Arabidopsis thaliana: one gene and its partners. The protein of the gene in region 3 purifies or fractionates together with the protein of the main gene of each other region. This does not show direct contact. Each region holds a gene or a part of one and is shown on either strand. Other genes may lie near its edges.

Region 1 (5,519 bases), on a different chromosome or scaffold from region 3:
CTTCGTCCTCCTAGAAATACCATTCTAATCATTTTCATGGCTGGGTCTAACATTGATCTTCCTCTATGAATCAAGGCTAGAGCACATAGACCTGGTCAGGAAACATGGTGTGGCAAAAGTATTGGGAACTCTTGTGAGCATCGGTGGAGCCACCGTGATCACATTGTACAGAGGATTTCCGATATTTGACCAGGGCCTTAACATGCAAAAGGAAGAGGTGGTCGGATCTGACAACTCGCACAGCTTGACACTCGGATGGTTATACCTTATGGGACATTGTCTGTCATGGGCTGGTTGGATGGTTCTTCAAGCTCCTGTTCTAAAGCAATACCCGGCGAAGCTCACTTTAACATCCTTCACATGTTTCTTTGGTCTGATTCAGTTTCTGGTTATTGCTCTCTTTGTGGAAACTGATCTAAATAATTGGATCATCGTCTCTTGGGAAGAGCTCTTCACCATCCTATACGCCGTAAGCTCCCTCCCTCTGTCTCTCTCTCTTCCTTTTCCTTGATCTGAATCAATGGAAATTAGCTAAATGAATGTTCCTTTGGCCGTGTTTACAGGGAATAATAGCGTCAGGGTTGGTGGTTTATCTTCAAACATGGTGTATCTACAAAAGCGGTCCAGTTTTTGTCGCTGTTTTCCAGCCTCTCCAGACACTTCTTGTTGCTGCGATGGCGTTTCTTATTCTTGGTGATCAGTTATACTCGGGAGGGTAAGCGCATTGAAAACGGGATGTATCGGGTTTTGTTTCTCTCGATTACTCGATCTAATAGAATCTTTTTGGCTTTGCAGGATTGTTGGTGCAGTGTTTATAATGCTAGGGCTCTACTTAGTTCTTTGGGGCAAAAACGAAGAAAGAAAACTGGCTCTTGAAGAGAGTCAACAAGATCCAGAGTCACTGACCAAACATCTACTTGAGGCACAACACAAGAAGAGTAATTCTGAATCTGAAGTGTAAAAGTGCTGCAAACACAACGCATTACTTCTCTGTACATACACATACAAGAACTTGGCCAACACACAGGCTCCTCAAGTGGGTCTCTCATACAATTGATATCCTAGTCGTTTACTTTTGAGTTGTAATCAAAATTGGGTTGCAATTTATTTATGAATAAAAATGAAAAGATGGTAACATTAAATCAAAGTTGACAATAGAGAAGCAAATGTTCTGATCCGGTCTGGTTGGAGACAGACCAATGACCTGGAGAACTCATGTTCATGCAACTGTGTACTGTCTTAATCTTTCATACAACGAATCTATAACATTTGTGACCCAGTCTATGATTAACCAGATAGGCAACTGATTTTGTGACCCATCATGCATCAAATATTTGAGTCCCAGTAATTAAAGTTCTGTTTCTACTCCTACCATTTGGACTTTCATAACCAAAACTAAATCAACATATGAAACAAAAAAAACTGAGAGATCTTGATATCACAAGTCACTAGAAAGAAATACAATCGCACTAAACCACAAATAAAGCCACTTAACTGCAATAGCACATGTTGCAAGAAAAGGGAGTCTAAGTTCAAAACCATTGTGCAAGCACAACACATGAAAAAAACGAAACAAAAGCTTAGATAGAGCAATAGAAGTGTTCTGGGACCTGTTTTGAAAGAAACTACCACACTACCTCACAGTTACGATGTCATCAATCTTCAAAATCATCCTAACGCATTCAGTTGCTAAAGTGATCGCACTGGTACTCACAAGCAGAGGCTGAACAACATTTTCCTCCAAGATGTTAGTGATCTGTCCTTTCCTCACATTGATCCCTGCGTTGATTTCCCCTTGAGCATGCTTGTTCCTGAGTTCAGTCACAATGGCGATAGGGTTTAACCCTGCATTCTCGGCTAGTGTGTAAGGAATAACTTCGAGAGCTTCAGCAAAAGACTTCACACAGTAACCTTCCATCCCATGTAGCACCTTAGCCCAAGCACCGAGCTGCCTTGAGAGCTCAATCTCTGGTGCACCACCTCCTGCAATCAAAAACCTTTTGCTCACTAGACACCTAACCACACACAAGGCATCATGTAAACTCCTTTCAGCTTCATCTAGAACAAGCTGGTTGGAGCCACGAACTAGAACAGATGTAGTTCTCCCCATGTCCTTGATACCAGTGATCTTCAAAATCTTTCCATCTCCAAGGGAGGCCTCCTCAACAAGATCAGCATGGCCAAGCTTCTCAGCTCTGAAATGCTCAATATTGGCGATAGGCAAGCAGTTCAATGTCTTGGTGACAAATTCAATCTCATCTCTCTCAACATCCTTAATAACCATAATCTTAGCTTTGGCCAAATAGTGAAGAGATAGATCAGTCACTGCATCCCTCAAAATACTCTTCTGAATCAACAACACATTGCAACCAGTTGCTTTGATCTTCTTAATCATCCCCAATATGTAATTCCTCTCTTCTTTCAAGATCCTATCCATCTGAGTATAATCAGAGACAACAATACTCTGCTCGATATCAGTCTTAGGAGGTGAGATCTGGAACTGAATCACAGCAATCTTAGCATTCTCCACACGAGTCGGTCCACCAGCAGCACGGCTAACCTTCTTATCAAAAACCAAACCTTTCACAGTATGTGTATCATCCACAGTCCCACCAAGCTTCTTAACAATCTTAATATCACGCAAATCCACAATCTCAGGCTTTTCCGGATCTATAACAGAGAGAACCGCATCTACAGCTAAAGGAGCAAGCAATGTAGAGTACTGACTAACAACCTTACTGTTAAGCGATGTGCTCGCAGATTTCACAAGTGAATCTCTATCAGTGAGCTCCACTGGAACAGCCATGGCAGTCAAAATATCGATCGCCTTACCACACGCCTTGTGAAGCGAATCTGAAATGACAGTAGGGTGGATCCCGTTTGTGAGAAGCGATTGACACTCCTTGAGAAGCGCACCGGCGATTACTACGACAGTTGTGGTACCATCTCCGGCGGCTGAATCTTGAGATTTGGAAAGCTCGACTAACATCTTCGCCGCTGGCTGCAAAACCTCCATCTTGTTAAGGATCGTAGCTCCATCGTTAGTAATGATTACCTCTCCGTTCGCCGTGGAAATCATCTTGTCCATTCCTTTCGGTCCCAAACTAGTACGGACGGCGTCAGAGACTGCTCGAGCAGAGTTGATGTTCGCGAATCGGATATCTTCTCTCCGCTTGTTGTCTACGAACGATTCAGCTTTAGATCCACGGGGCTTCGAAGCCATTGGTGCCGCTACCGCCGCCATTTTTTTACTACGAGTGAGAGAGCTTGAGATCTCGACGGAATTGATCTCGAACGGAGAAATTTGCAGAAAACCCTAAATGGAAGTGTGACAAGAGTGTTCTGGAAATGAAAGAGAGAATAGAGAATTTGAAAAAAGCCCTAGGGTATACGCTATTGTTTGATAAATGGGCCTGTTTTGAGTTTTTATGAGTTAGCCCAAAAGGCCCAGTTATTGGTTCAGACTTCAGACTTGAGTGTTTGTTAAGGGGACGGTTAAACAAATTTGAGAAAAATCTAAACTAGACCAAATGATCTGGTAATTATTTCGTTCCCAAGATTACAGTACACGAATGCTTGAAAGTTACTTATTTACACTGACTGATTATGCAATAGCTCAAGAGCTTTGACAAGAACCAGCTTGAACCGGTTTATATCAACGCTAACGTTCTGCTGTACCAAATAAACCGACTTGAAAGTTCCCCACCCGCGTTTTGCAACGGCCAATGGATCTCTAACGAACTCGTGATCGCGTCCGTACTGCTTCACCAGTGTGCTCTCCTCCGCCGTGATCTTGTACTCCAAATACCTCAGATTCATGCCCTTCGACGGATACTCGAAATCCATCTTTGCAAGCCACTCGAATCCACCGATCGGAAGAATCTGAATCACGATCGCGTTATCAGGTAAGAACACCATGTTCGTCATCCCCGCGCCGTGAACGCCGAGCATCACGTCACAGGAGTTCACAGTTATTGCGAAACTCGCGATTTCCGTGTTTGCTTCCGCCACCACGACTTTAAATCCGATTTGTCTCGCCGCTCTAGCGATTTCACCCGCGTTCACAAACGCTCGCGATCTGCTCCTAGACAAAATCAGAATCCGTGGCTTCCGCCTCGTAGTCACGGCGGAGTTTCTCAATGAGTATGTGTCTCTGAGGAATTTCCGGAAATCGGACATTGAATACTCCGAATTCGAAGGATCAGTCGTTAGCTCTTTGTCATAATCACGGTGGCGATTGAGACCAACGATGACGCTGCTGAAACAATGCGTTTCGTCTTCTTCGTCGATGTAAATCACTTCGTAATTAGAGAGTTTCCTCACTAATTCCTTAAATTTGTTGATCCACAAAAGATTCTTGTTCGTCACGAGGAACTGAACTTCACCGCTGAATCTACGCGCCGTCGTGTACAGAGGAATCACGATGTCCGTGAAATCATGGAAATTGTTCAACGAGAAGCCTCCGAGAGAGAAAAGAATCGCCGGAACGCTGTGATTCCTAACGCAGCGTGATAAACTAGCGTTTTGTACTAATTTCACCGTCCATTCTCTCACGCGTTTCATGGCAGGAACTTGGTCTTTTCTCGCATAAGGTCTCATATACCACGTGGAATTCCCGGAAAACGCAAACGTGACCGCCGCAAGAACAGTTGCGGATTTACCATGGATTCTTACGTCGCCGCTTACATCGCAAAACTCTTTGCTTCCTAGTGTGTTACAGTGACAGATAGGTTTCTCCATTTTATTGCACTCTGAAGATTCAGTCAGGACAAAATCAAAAGAACAAACTGTATCATACTATACAGAAAATGACTAAAAACCATAACAAGACAATTGTAGAGAAAATTCTGAAGTATATTGACCTGAAATAACTTCTTCTTTGGAGATTGTAGTGTTGGTAGTTAATTCTGTTATACTCAGCATCCTTAGACCAGTGCCAACTGATAACTGTAACTCCACTGAAGAAAGAAAGAAAGAGATACACGTTAAAATGATTGTTTTTGCGTTATCTGGCTTTTCGGCAAAACGTGGTAAGAGACTTACCGATTGGTAAAGGGCTGAGATAAGGTTTAACGACAGTGCAAAGAGTGAGGACCAAGAGAAGAGAGGCAATGAAAGCTCCACAGCAAAGTCTCTTCTGATCAGTTTTGCTAAAACTACGAGCAAGTACTGTATCGTAAAGAATATCCTTCTTTGTCATCTCTTGACTCTTAAGTTACACAAAACTTTTCTTTCTTCTTCAGCAAGAAACTCTATAATCAGAGTTTACTGGCTAATGTAGAGATATGAAGGTCAAGCTAGGTGGGAGAGCGAGAGGATTATGTGAGGTATTTAAGAATTTGTTTGACGATATTATCTGTGTTTTTTTTTTCACTATAACGTTTTAGTTATTGAGAATGAATATAAAGGGTACTGGTTTAAAGAAGAGAACTAGCTAGAGCATGTTCAAAGTGGTTCGATCTTATATTGGTAGAGTTTAAGGAAGAAGGAGAAGTCTTGGGAGTTTTTTCTTTATTTGC
Region 2 (5,511 bases), on a different chromosome or scaffold from region 3:
TTTGAAGACATGAGAGGTTTTAGGGTTTATCTTTTTTACACTCACAATCAAAATACTGACGACTTCTTCGCCACCGTGGTTAACGCTGCCTGCACCGTCGGCGGAAAACAAAAAAGCTTCAACTCCATTGGTTTCCTCTTCCTCGATCTCTCGATTAATTCTCAGAGGCAAGCTTCTTCTATTAGACCAAACTTGTTTTCGCATCCTAATTGTCAATTTCGGCGATATCATTTCTAATCATCAATTTTCTCCCTTTTCGAATTAGATCGGAATTATGTATAAATTTTTTGGTTGCGTATCTTTGACGTGAAAAAACCCTAATTTAGGTGGCTTTCCGCAGTTGAAAACCCTCGAAATTGGCCCTGCCATTTTCAATTTCTTTGATTTGGATTCTTCATGCTTTCCGTTTCTCGTTGTTTTTTTTGTTAGAAGAAAGACGTGAATTTGTTGTGATGTAATTTTTAGGATTATTCTCAAAGAGAGTAGCAGCTATGGGCTGGAAAGCTGCTGAGAAACTCATCAGACACTGGAAGATACTTCGAGGAGACAATGTGAGTACACCACTCATGTTCTTCTTGTGGTGTTCATTAGTTTGGTTTCATTTTTGATCTGTTGTTTCTGGGGTATGATTTTATGTGCAGGTAATGATAATTCGTGGGAAAGATAAGGGTGAGACTGGAACCATAAAGCGTGTCATTCGATCCCAAAATCGTGTCATCGTTGAAGGGAAGAATCTGGTGAGATAGTCTTGTTCTGGATATCTTTTGTTCGCTCTGTCTCATGCATTTAGAGAATGAATGTACAAGTTCATTTTTTGATTTTTTTGTTCTTGATTTGGTTTGTAGAGTATGAACTAGTACTGAATCAATATCATATCACTAGCTCAACACCAACCATAGAGTTATCAATTTTCATTTGATTCTCATTTTTTTAATCCAAGCATCAAGTAGACGGTTACTAAATCACAAAGCGACTCTAGTTCCATGGATTTCGCTACACAATTCTTTTGAATTGTTTATCTTGAAACTGTTATCGTTTTGGATGTTCTACCTTGCTGCTGGGATAGTCTTTGTCTACTCACTGAAGCTTGTATATGTTTTTCGCTGATGCTTTTTTTTTCCTGTGTTCTCAGATCAAGAAACATATAAAGGGAGGCCCTGATCACGAAGGTGGAATTTTCACTGTAGAGGCTCCTCTTCACGCCTCAAATGTCCAAGTTGTTGATCCTGTCACTGGGTATGATTTCACTCTGCACTACTGTCTCCAATTACTCTTTTGCTCAAGCGAGAGATCACTTATTAATCTATTATCTTTTCTACCACAGGAGGCCTTGTAAGGTTGGTGTAAAATACCTAGAAGATGGAACAAAAGTAAGAGTAGCCAGAGGCACTGGCACATCTGGTTCCATAATTCCCCGACCAGAGATTCTAAAGATAAGGGCAACGCCGCGACCCACAACTGGTACATAGAAGCTCAATATCTCTTTAAACGTTGGATTTTGGAAATATATAGTGGAAGTCTGTTAGCTATCTGAGAAAAAAACATAATCATAGATCGGCTATAAGATAAACATAGAATCAACATAATTCGTTTGCTATCAACATAATCAACAAACTTGATAGTAGCGGTTTTCTTATAGAAGGATTCATACTTTTCTCTTTGCAGCTGGCCCTAAGGACACACCAATGGAGTTTGTCTGGGAGCAGACATATGATGCTAAAACTGGAAAGGGCATGCCTGATCTTTGAGTTGAAACCTCTCTACAGTTTCGTTTGGAAAATGTTGCCTGCTCTCAAAAAGGATTCTTCTTTTTCCCATCCATTAGAGTTTGATTTCGGTCTAGAGCTGTGAGGTTTTGTTGGAGAACCTTTGATCATGACTGAAACGGAGTCGTTTTCCTTTTTTCTTTCATTGATCTTGTGAACTTTCAAGGTGCCAAATAAAATCCGTCTGGAAAACAGTTCAATATTTACATGTTTAGTTATTGTATATACACTAGCCAGAAGTCTAAACATAAAACGAAAACTATAAGCTCTAAGTAAAGTAGATTTATATTATGCAACCGAATTAACAATATTAACACAATGACATGATTTGCATTGTAATGAAATTTAAAATTTTGACAAAAAAAATATGGAAATTCAAATTGGTTATTAACTTTTATTTTTGGGGATGATTTGGAAATTTGGTGAATTATTGGTTACAATAAATAAAAGGAAATATTGAAGGACTTATATGTAATTAGTGTCGCCTAATCGAGTAATTCGATCCATCTTCGTCTGTCTTGTTAACAAAGAAAACTGAGAAAGGTTTTCTTATAAGATCCCATTCTTGTAGCAAAAACCCAGAAGAACAAACTTTCGAAGAAGACGACTAATCAATTCATCTGATTATGGAGAGACTACAGAGAATCTTCGGAGCTGGTGGCGGTTTAGGTCACGCATCGCCTGATTCTCCGACTCTCGATACATCGGAGCAGGTTTACATCTCTTCTCTCGCTCTCCTCAAGATGCTTAAGCACGGTAATCAATCCAAACCCAAGCTCTAATTTAGTCTTCTCTTGCTTAGGGTTTTATGATTTTGTCTCGTTCTCTGTGATTTTACTCTCGTCCTCTTTTGCTCTGGAACTCTAGGGTTTTATTCGATCTGTTTCTGAGATTCAAAATGCGGATTTGAGTAGAGATTTAATGAAAATTGATCGGAATATTGCAGGAAGAGCTGGTGTTCCTATGGAAGTCATGGGATTGATGCTTGGAGAGTTTGTGGATGAATACACTGTTAGGGTTGTGGATGTTTTTGCGATGCCTCAGAGTGGTACTGGTGTTAGTGTTGAAGCTGTTGATCATGTTTTCCAGACTAATATGCTCGACATGCTTAAACAGACCGGAAGGTAACTAGTTCTTCTCTAAACCTATTTACTACGCTTAAGTGAGGTTTCCTATTTAGGTTTTGGATCTGATTCTTCTTGTATCTTGTTTCAGACCTGAGATGGTGGTTGGTTGGTATCATTCACATCCTGGATTCGGCTGCTGGCTTTCTGGGGTTGACATTAATACTCAACAGGTAGAGTTTTGTTTGCTCTGTTTGCATACTTATCAATTTGTGAATTGCACTTGAGAATTTGTTGTTTGCTTTATTGATGGCTCAAAAAACTAAATAGAATGTTACTCATTGTGTTCTATACCCTGTTGTGATTCACTTTGTATTATATATGTTCATTGTGAATATCTGTGTGCTTTTGTAGAGTTTTGAAGCTTTGAATCAGCGAGCTGTAGCAGTGGTGGTAGATCCGATTCAGAGTGTGAAAGGAAAGGTGGTGATTGATGCGTTCCGCTCCATAAATCCACAGACCATTATGCTTGGGCAGGAACCCCGTCAAACAACATCGAACCTTGGGCACTTGAACAAACCATCGATCCAGGTGATTATCACTAACTGAATGTGTCCTGTTTTTAAGTTGAAACGAAATCAAAGGTTTTCTCTGATACTGACTTTTGGATACTACTATGCAGGCTTTGATTCACGGGTTGAACAGACACTATTACTCAATAGCAATCAACTATAGGAAGAACGAGCTTGAGGAGAAGATGTTACTCAACCTCCACAAGAAGAAATGGACAGATGGTCTGACGCTAAGACGCTTTGACACCCACTCCAAGACCAACGAACAGACGGTCCAGGTAAAGAAACACAGGGTTATGTTTTTATCTGTTCAAGCATATTCTACAATCATGTTCATTGACATTTTCATTATCTCCTGTTTAACAGGAGATGTTGAGCTTGGCTGCTAAATATAACAAGGCGGTTCAAGAGGAGGACGAGTTGTCACCAGAGAAGCTGGCAATTGTGAATGTGGGAAGACAAGATGCAAAGAAGCATCTGGAAGAACATGTCTCGAACCTCATGTCATCCAACATTGTTCAGACACTAGGCACTATGCTCGACACTGTTGTCTTCTAGAGAGCTTACTTCTCCAGCCGCTTCAAGTCATTGAGCTTTGTTCTTCTGCATCTCTTTGGCTTCTACTGAATGTTCTCTTTTTATCTGCTAGCTTTTTACAAGGTTGTACTGTACTATGTGATTTCGTTCGTTAAGGGCAGGGATCGATTTCTATTTCTTTGCATATTATTTTCAGATTTTATTTTCCTCCCATTTTTAGATTTTATGCTGCAACTTTCAAGTTAAGTGCTTTTGATAAGAATATGCAATTTCCCTCCTGGATTAAGTCTTTAGCGTAACCATGACAATGAAACTAAAACAAGTGAAGTTAACATCTTAATTTTGTAGCAAACAGCAATAACATCCAAATCTACGTTAAGTTCCACAGCAAATATACAAAAAACTGTGCTAGGATTTGTGAAGACGTGAACTTGATGTAAAGAGGCAATTATAAGCCATAAAGGGCATGGCACGTTACCGGTGCATCAAACAAGTCCTGCTTTGAACACATTTGGAGGAGATTGACCAATCGTTCAGCCAGAGCATCAAGGTTTTGGAACAAGAAATCTTTGACCTGATGTGTGTAAACTGTAGCTTAAAACTCGGTGTCAAAACAAGTCATGAAGATCTTTGAGACCATGGTTCTTGCAAAAGGGATGTAGCTCAAGCTATACCTGCAGTTTTAAAGAACACAAGGGATTCATTCTCCAAGATGAATGTTGACAGCTTTTGTGACAAACTCAGAAACCGTATAAGGAGCATTAGGTCCACTCGGGATAATATACTATTCGAAGAGTATATATCATGTAATTGTATTACTAAGAAAGTTAGGATAAAAATGTAAGAGCTTGAAAGCAAGTTTTAGCATACCAAATTAGACCAGTGAACTCAAGAATGATAGCCAGCAGTGTCAGAAGCTTGTTGCGAACCTGTACAGAAAGATGATGACAGATTATATTTAGTCCAACAAGGCATTTTCACTACCTAGTTTTAACTGAACATAAGCAATGTTGTGCATCCAGTATTTTGAATTGAGAAACCCCACTTACATAAAGAGCACAAAACAAGGCAATGATAATGCTTGCTAGATACAATGCAGTAGCGTAGATACGAGCTGGGTCAAGCATCATAGTCACCTGCCGCTGTGGGCCTATAAGGAATGCTGTGCTGCCATACAAAAGTGACATGAAACTTAAAATCCAGGAACAAAGAGAGAAAAATGGAGAAATACTGTACACACAGAATTGCGACACCAATGCAATATAACAAGAAGCTACACAAAATTCCAATACGAACCTCCCGAGTGCCATCAAATTTCCCAGAGTGAATGTGATGCCAAACTTGACCGGATTAAAGAAAACAAGCATCGACTGCATCGTCAAACAAATAAGAGATAAAGAGTTATATCACCAGTAAAAGAGCTAAGACAACCCAAAGTACAGAAGAAGAATACAGCTAAACCAATCAAATGATTCCTTTCAATGCAGAAATAAGGATAGTGCTTTCTAACATTGCTAAGACTTGAGAGTTATACTTACCAAAAGTGTACAGGTCAAACCTGCTGACAAGCAA
Region 3 (6,027 bases):
TTAAAGGGCATTTCCTTTTACAGTTATATCCATTTTAAGTATTTTTGTCAACTTTAGAGCTTAACGTTGGTTTGTCAAGAGTCATGGTGTAGATGGATATTATTACACAAAAATGACTTCTAGCTAACATATTAGAACTACTAATAATAGTAGATGTTTCGGAAAAAATAAAATTCATAAAGATAGATGTCTATATTTGAAATTTGTGTAACATTTTGTATTTTGTCCTTGTTAGTTATTAGAATGAAGAAAACATTATAAATATAAATTCTAATAGGATTTGGTAAAAACTAATTTTAGCATGTGTACAAACCCTTAGAAATCTGTTTTTGTTTTTTGTGCCAACAATCTTCAATTAATATACATAAACTTTATAAAACAGAATGAGTAACACTTACACTTACAAGTTTATTGGGTCTTTCACTCTTCTGGATAACAATATTTTCTAGATTAACAATCTGACTTACGCTTAAAACCTACACAAACGGTGTATAAATTCCACACTTTTATTCTTAAAATACATAGTTTTCCTTGTATAAAACTTGTAAGCGTTATATACATAGCTGGAGCAAATTAAAATATATAATCAAGTTGCTAGTATGAAACAAAGAAAATTGAATGTCCCATACTCTTGTATTCAAAGGATTTTAAAAATGACGTCTTATATTAATACAATTTTATCTCACTTAGGAGGAAGATTATAAATAAGTTTTAAAAAAAGAAATGAAGCGTTAACGTCGTCATGCTTGATGTCAACTCTATGGCATTGCTCAAAAAACGTGTCAACGTTCTTACATTCTGGAAGTCTTTGATTTGGTGATGCATTGAATATTTGAATGATATAGTGTTACAAATAGATTCGTAGTTGTACTTCTCTCACAACCACAAACACCTAATCCGAATCAAGATTTTTGCACTTGTTTTGGATATATATGTCATACCAAAAAAAGGCAACGAGAAAAAATAGGGTCAAAATTTTGATTAGATATAGCTGAAGCTAGAAAGCAAACCCATGATGAGAAGAACACAATAACCGTCCAATTTTTCTGAACGTGAGGGATCTGAGTAAGCAAGTTTAAAAGATTCAAGAAGCTTTCTAATAATATCAAATTTATCAACCCCACTGATCCCTGTTAAGATTCAGCTGTGTGTTCGAAACTCCCATTACAAATGCATGCATATACCTATGAGCAATATCTATAAGGTTTTCTTTAAAGCAACAACGATTGTTGGTAGAGACCGAAACACACACAAATCTTATAATATGCTTCATGACTTTTGAATTTTGCTGTCATCAAATGATGCTATACTATACCCCCATTTTCAGGGATTCTTCAGATATATCCACATGACATAACTAACACAAGTTTTAGCCATTTCAATTAGTCTGACAGATCACAGACCTCACATACCGTATAAGAAAATAGTTAATTACAAATCAAATGTGGTAGTCCTAACTTTATCAAATAAGTTATGCTATTGCTCAGTCTAATCATATAGGAACAAAGTGTGATCAACTGATCAATCTCTAGTCTCTACAAGACTACAACAAACAGATAATAAAGTACAATATTCAAAATGTACAAACAACACATAACAAAAAAATTAGGAAAATTCAGATGAGTGAATGTAAAGTTTCCATATATATTGATAATATTATCTACCATATTTGGAAGCAAAGAAATAATGTTCTCCACAACAACCAAATCATCCCTCCTCCAATTATCTTTAAGAATATTGATCGAGATATCCGCAACGCTATCTCGGGTAGAAGGCATAAGAAAAGATGGCGGAAGTTCATGCTTCTTTGGATTCGATAGCTCGGTCTTTTCTTTGTTGTTCTTGAATATATTGTAATCTTGTTTTTTTATCTTTTTTGCCAAGATTGCACTATCATTAGGTAAAGCTCTTTGTAATACCTTCAATTTCATTATATGATATTTACAAGTCAGCAAAAACATATATATATTATCATATGGGTGGTATCAAAATCAGATGTTCAGTCCTAAAACAATAAAACCAGCTCACAAATCTACTAATCATATTTTTAGTTTAATTCTCACCACGAAGAATTAAGCTAAAGACAACAACAATGGAGAACAATCTCATACACGAGCGACCAAAAACCCAAGAAGCAATCAGATTAAGGTTATGTCCAATTATAAAAGTCAAAACAACAATTAAAGACTATGTAACTAAGAAATTAAATCTAAATAATATCGTTATCTAGATAGAGCAAGCGAAAGCCACCAGTTGGAGTAAGCCACCACCAACTCCATTGACACAACAATTCACAACCCAAAAGACCTCTAACGAGTGACACGATTCGGTGCATCGACTCAGCTGTTATTTGACCAAAATACCCCTGTTAATTAACACACATCCCGAAGATGGATCTGAGTCTGCAGCTGCAGATTCACGGCGCGTTAATCAACAAAGGCCCGTCGTGTACTTCTTATTGGGCTTCTTCTTCTTCACTTTCTCTTCCTCGCGATTTCATTTCTTCTTCTACGTTTCTTCTTCATCGAAGACTCAGAAGAAGAAGCTGCTCTCGTTCTCGTGGAATCCGATTAAGACGGAGTGGTTTCTCGGCGATGCCTTGTTCTTCTTCTGATACTCTTACGGCTTCTCGCGTCGGTTGTGGCGGAGGAGGTGGTGGTGGAGCCGTTGGCGGTGGAGCTGAGAATGCTTCTGTCGCTAATTTCAAGCTGAACGAATCTACCTTTATTGCTTCTCTCATGCCTAAGAAAGAAATCCGTGCGGATTGCTTCATCGAAGCTCATCCTGAGTACGACGGTCGTGGCGTTGTTATAGCTATCTTTGGTACTTGGATATTCTCTCGTTTTGTATTCTCTAGATTGAATTTGTGAATGGAGAAGTTTTGTATAAGCCTTATGTTATAGTTGGGTTGCTTATACTTGGATCAGATAGTAGAGCGATTGTTTGGTTCTTAAGAAGGTGTTGTAACTCTCCAAGTAAAAATTCTGATTGAGGAACTGAGCAAATGGAATTTTGTGTTTTCCAGATTCTGGTTTTGATCCTTCTGCTGCTGGCTTGCATGTAACTTCTGATGGAAAACCCAAGGTTTTGGACGTCATTGACTGGTATAGTTTTGTGATTTAATTGAATTTTGCATTTAGTGTTCTTTGACTGTGGCGTGATGGTCATTTTACGTTATCGTTTAGCACTGGAAGTGGAGATATAGATACATCCACAGTGGTGAAAGCCAATGAAGATGGTCATATTCGTGGAGCATCAGGTTGGTGATTTGAGAGGTTTTATGATTTCTGCATGATAGTTTGCTTTCTCTTTCTTGCTACGATATGCGTTGATAATTTCTTTTGTTTAAACAGGGGCAACTTTGGTTGTCAATTCTTCATGGAAAAATCCCACTGGAGAGTGGCGTGTAGGTTCCAAGTTGGTTTATCAGTTATTTACAGATGACTTGACTTCTCGTGTGAAGGTAGCGATTAGAGTTGTGACCTTTTTGGCTGTTGGATTACTTTCATCTACTCATTAAATCTTATACCAGAGTTTACATATCTGGTCTGCAATCCCATTTGCTAAGACTTGTTTTGTCATTACACAGAAAGAGAGAAGGAAATCCTGGGATGAAAAGAATCAGGAGGAAATTGCCAAGGCTGTAAATAATCTGTATGATTTCGATCAGGTACTAGGGAGATGCTGATTGTGGTTTGCTGTATTGTAGATGTTATGAGTTAGACAGTGCTACTCAATTCTATCATAACCTCATTTTTCATTCTTGCCTCCAGAAGCACAGCAAGGTGGAAGATGCGAAATTGAAGAAAACTCGTGAAGACCTCCAAAGCAAAGTTGATTTTCTGAAAAAACAAGCTGATGTAAGTTTAGAGACCGCCCTTTGGTAGTTTTATGTCTGTGTACTTGTTCGCTGTGGTCTTGAATCTGTTCTGTAAATCAATTGTTTTTTCTGTAGAAATATGAAGACAAAGGGCCTGTTATTGATGCTGTTGTGTGGCATGATGGAGAAGTATGGAGGGTTGCACTTGATACACAGAGTCTGGAAGAGGATCCAGATAGCGGGAAACTAGCAGACTTCTCCCCACTGACTAACTACCGGCAAGTCTTCCTTTAAACATCTATCTCTTATGAAAGTTCAGGAACTTTTCGTTTGGAAGCATGATTTGTTCACCAATTTTTTTATTTTATTTTATTAATCTCAATCAAATATGTACTACAGAATTGAACGGAAGTATGGCGTGTTTAGCCGACTAGATGCATGCTCCTTTGTTGCTAACGTGTATGATGAGGGAAAGGTTCTAAGCATTGTAACTGATAGTTCTCCTCACGGCACTCATGTTGCTGGAATAGCTACTGCACACCACCCTGAGGTGCAAAACGCATCTATATAATTTAGATACATTGATGATTTGTTGCAACCAATTAACTTACCTTCTATGTGTATGTTAGGAGCATTTGTTAAATGGTGTGGCACCTGGTGCACAAATAATATCTTGCAAAATTGGAGACTCGCGATTAGGTTCAATGGAGACCGGAACTGGATTGACTCGGGCATTGATAGCTGCCCTAGAGGTAATAATTCATCAGCTGATATGAATTTACCATTAGCTGAAAATCATTTGTAACTTCGTGAAAGTATATTGTATGAAGTTTGAACTAAACAAGTCGTATATCTCTTGAATTACTTAAACATCACGAAGAATTTCATATATTTGTGGATTATTATATGTGAGGTTTGCATTGACACAAGTCAATACGTTCAATGTTTCTTTTTTGTATATACTGACTTTTATAATAATGTTACAGCATAACTGTGATCTTGTCAACATGAGCTATGGAGAGCCAGCATTACTTCCAGACTATGGGCGCTTTGTTGATCTTGTTACTGAAGTATCATTCAAATCCTTTTGTCTTTATTTGGGCAGCACTTATTAGCTTGTATTTTTTGCTTTTCTTCTAGCGTTTATGGACTTTCTGCCATGTTTTATTAGGCTGTGAACAAGAGACGTCTAATTTTTGTAAGTAGTGCTGGCAACAGTGGTCCAGCTTTGACAACAGTCGGAGCACCGGGTGGAACAACGTCCAGTATCATTGGGGTTGGTGCGTATGTTTCTCCTGCAATGGCAGCAGGTGCCCATTCAGTGGTGGAACCTCCCAGTGAGGGGCTTGAATACACTTGGTATTTTCACCTTTTTTAACTTTGGAATTATTCTACAGCTAGTTGTAGCTGGCATGATATAGTTATTGTTATATTGTAGGTCAAGCCGGGGGCCAACATCTGATGGAGATCTTGGTGTCTGCATAAGTGCACCTGGTGGGGCTGTTGCTCCTGTTCCTACATGGACGCTTCAAAGACGCATGCTCATGAATGGAACATCAATGGCATCTCCTTCTGCCTGTGGGGCAATTGCGTTACTTCTAAGTGCTATGAAGGTTTCTTCTTCAACATTACTTTTTATTTCTGCACATCCGTTTCCTATTCCGTTCTTTTTAGTTCTGCTGCTGAGTGCTGACATTCTTTCACACTTCTGCAGGCTGAGGGCATCCCAGTTAGCCCGTACAGTGTGAGAAGGGCCCTTGAAAATACATCTACACCAGTAGGTGATCTACCTGAAGATAAACTAACTACTGGACAAGGGCTTATGCAAGTTGATAAGTAAGGTTCTATACTGTGTAATTAATTTGACACCATATTTCAGATAATTTATGTATTTATTTTGTTATGACAGGGCATATGAATACTTAAAACAGTTTCAGGACTATCCATGCGTATTTTATCAGATAAAGGTCAATCTCTCCGGTAAAACAAGTATGTAAACGAATAATTTGAACTTCTTTAAAACAATTTCAAGCTAGTAGCTTATTGAAAACTTGCTTACTGGAACCTAGCTACTAATTTAAGGGCTTCCTGCTGTTACATTGGGAAAGTTTCCTAAGATTTTGGGGTTTTTCGATAAACAATATAACTTCCTTTTTATGAAGATTTTGAACTCTATTAACGCAGTTCCAACATCACGAGGCATCTAC

Evidence for each region.
Region 1: the proteins of TPP2 (region 3) and AT3G18190 fractionate together in Arabidopsis thaliana (co-fractionation; one large-scale study listed by BioGRID). This does not show direct contact.
Region 2: the proteins of TPP2 (region 3) and AT5G23540 fractionate together in Arabidopsis thaliana (co-fractionation; one large-scale study listed by BioGRID). This does not show direct contact.

Annotation. Positions count from the first base shown.
Region 1 is NC_003074.8:6,229,951-6,235,469, reverse strand, and holds AT3G18190 (TCP-1/cpn60 chaperonin family protein), read right to left. Parts: upstream 3,363-5,519; 5' UTR 3,245-3,362; coding exon 1,634-3,244; 3' UTR 1,287-1,633; downstream 1-1,286. Other genes in the region: UMAMIT4 (nodulin MtN21 /EamA-like transporter family protein), read left to right, coding at 76-469, 564-715, 796-961; AT3G18180 (Glycosyltransferase family 61 protein), read right to left, coding at 3,592-4,751, 4,863-4,958, 5,044-5,200. UniProt on the Arabidopsis thaliana protein: Molecular chaperone; assists the folding of proteins upon ATP hydrolysis. Known to play a role, in vitro, in the folding of actin and tubulin.
Region 2 is NC_003076.8:7,935,380-7,940,890, forward strand, and holds AT5G23540 (Mov34/MPN/PAD-1 family protein), read left to right. Parts: upstream 1-2,250; 5' UTR 2,251-2,392; coding exon 2,393-2,522; intron 2,523-2,712; coding exon 2,713-2,890; intron 2,891-2,981; coding exon 2,982-3,063; intron 3,064-3,244; coding exon 3,245-3,421; intron 3,422-3,512; coding exon 3,513-3,680; intron 3,681-3,768; coding exon 3,769-3,960; 3' UTR 3,961-4,225; downstream 4,226-5,511. Other genes in the region: AT5G23535 (KOW domain-containing protein), read left to right, coding at 492-551, 642-737, 1,133-1,236, 1,325-1,461, 1,666-1,748; AT5G23550 (Got1/Sft2-like vescicle transport protein family), read right to left, coding at 4,535-4,613, 4,810-4,868, 4,989-5,106, 5,236-5,309, 5,478-5,511. UniProt on the Arabidopsis thaliana protein: Metalloprotease component of the 26S proteasome that specifically cleaves 'Lys-63'-linked polyubiquitin chains. The 26S proteasome is involved in the ATP-dependent degradation of ubiquitinated proteins.
Region 3 is NC_003075.7:11,166,253-11,172,279, reverse strand, and holds the start of TPP2 (tripeptidyl peptidase ii), read left to right. Parts: upstream 1-2,208; 5' UTR 2,209-2,390; coding exon 2,391-2,823; intron 2,824-3,025; coding exon 3,026-3,104; intron 3,105-3,185; coding exon 3,186-3,259; intron 3,260-3,353; coding exon 3,354-3,463; intron 3,464-3,589; coding exon 3,590-3,670; intron 3,671-3,773; coding exon 3,774-3,860; intron 3,861-3,955; coding exon 3,956-4,098; intron 4,099-4,219; coding exon 4,220-4,370; intron 4,371-4,449; coding exon 4,450-4,572; intron 4,573-4,806; coding exon 4,807-4,890; intron 4,891-4,991; coding exon 4,992-5,179; intron 5,180-5,258; coding exon 5,259-5,433; intron 5,434-5,534; coding exon 5,535-5,656; intron 5,657-5,729; coding exon 5,730-5,809; intron 5,810-6,004; coding exon 6,005-6,027. UniProt on the Arabidopsis thaliana protein: Serine protease of the proteasome pathway that may function with the 20S proteasome to degrade oxidized proteins generated by environmental stress.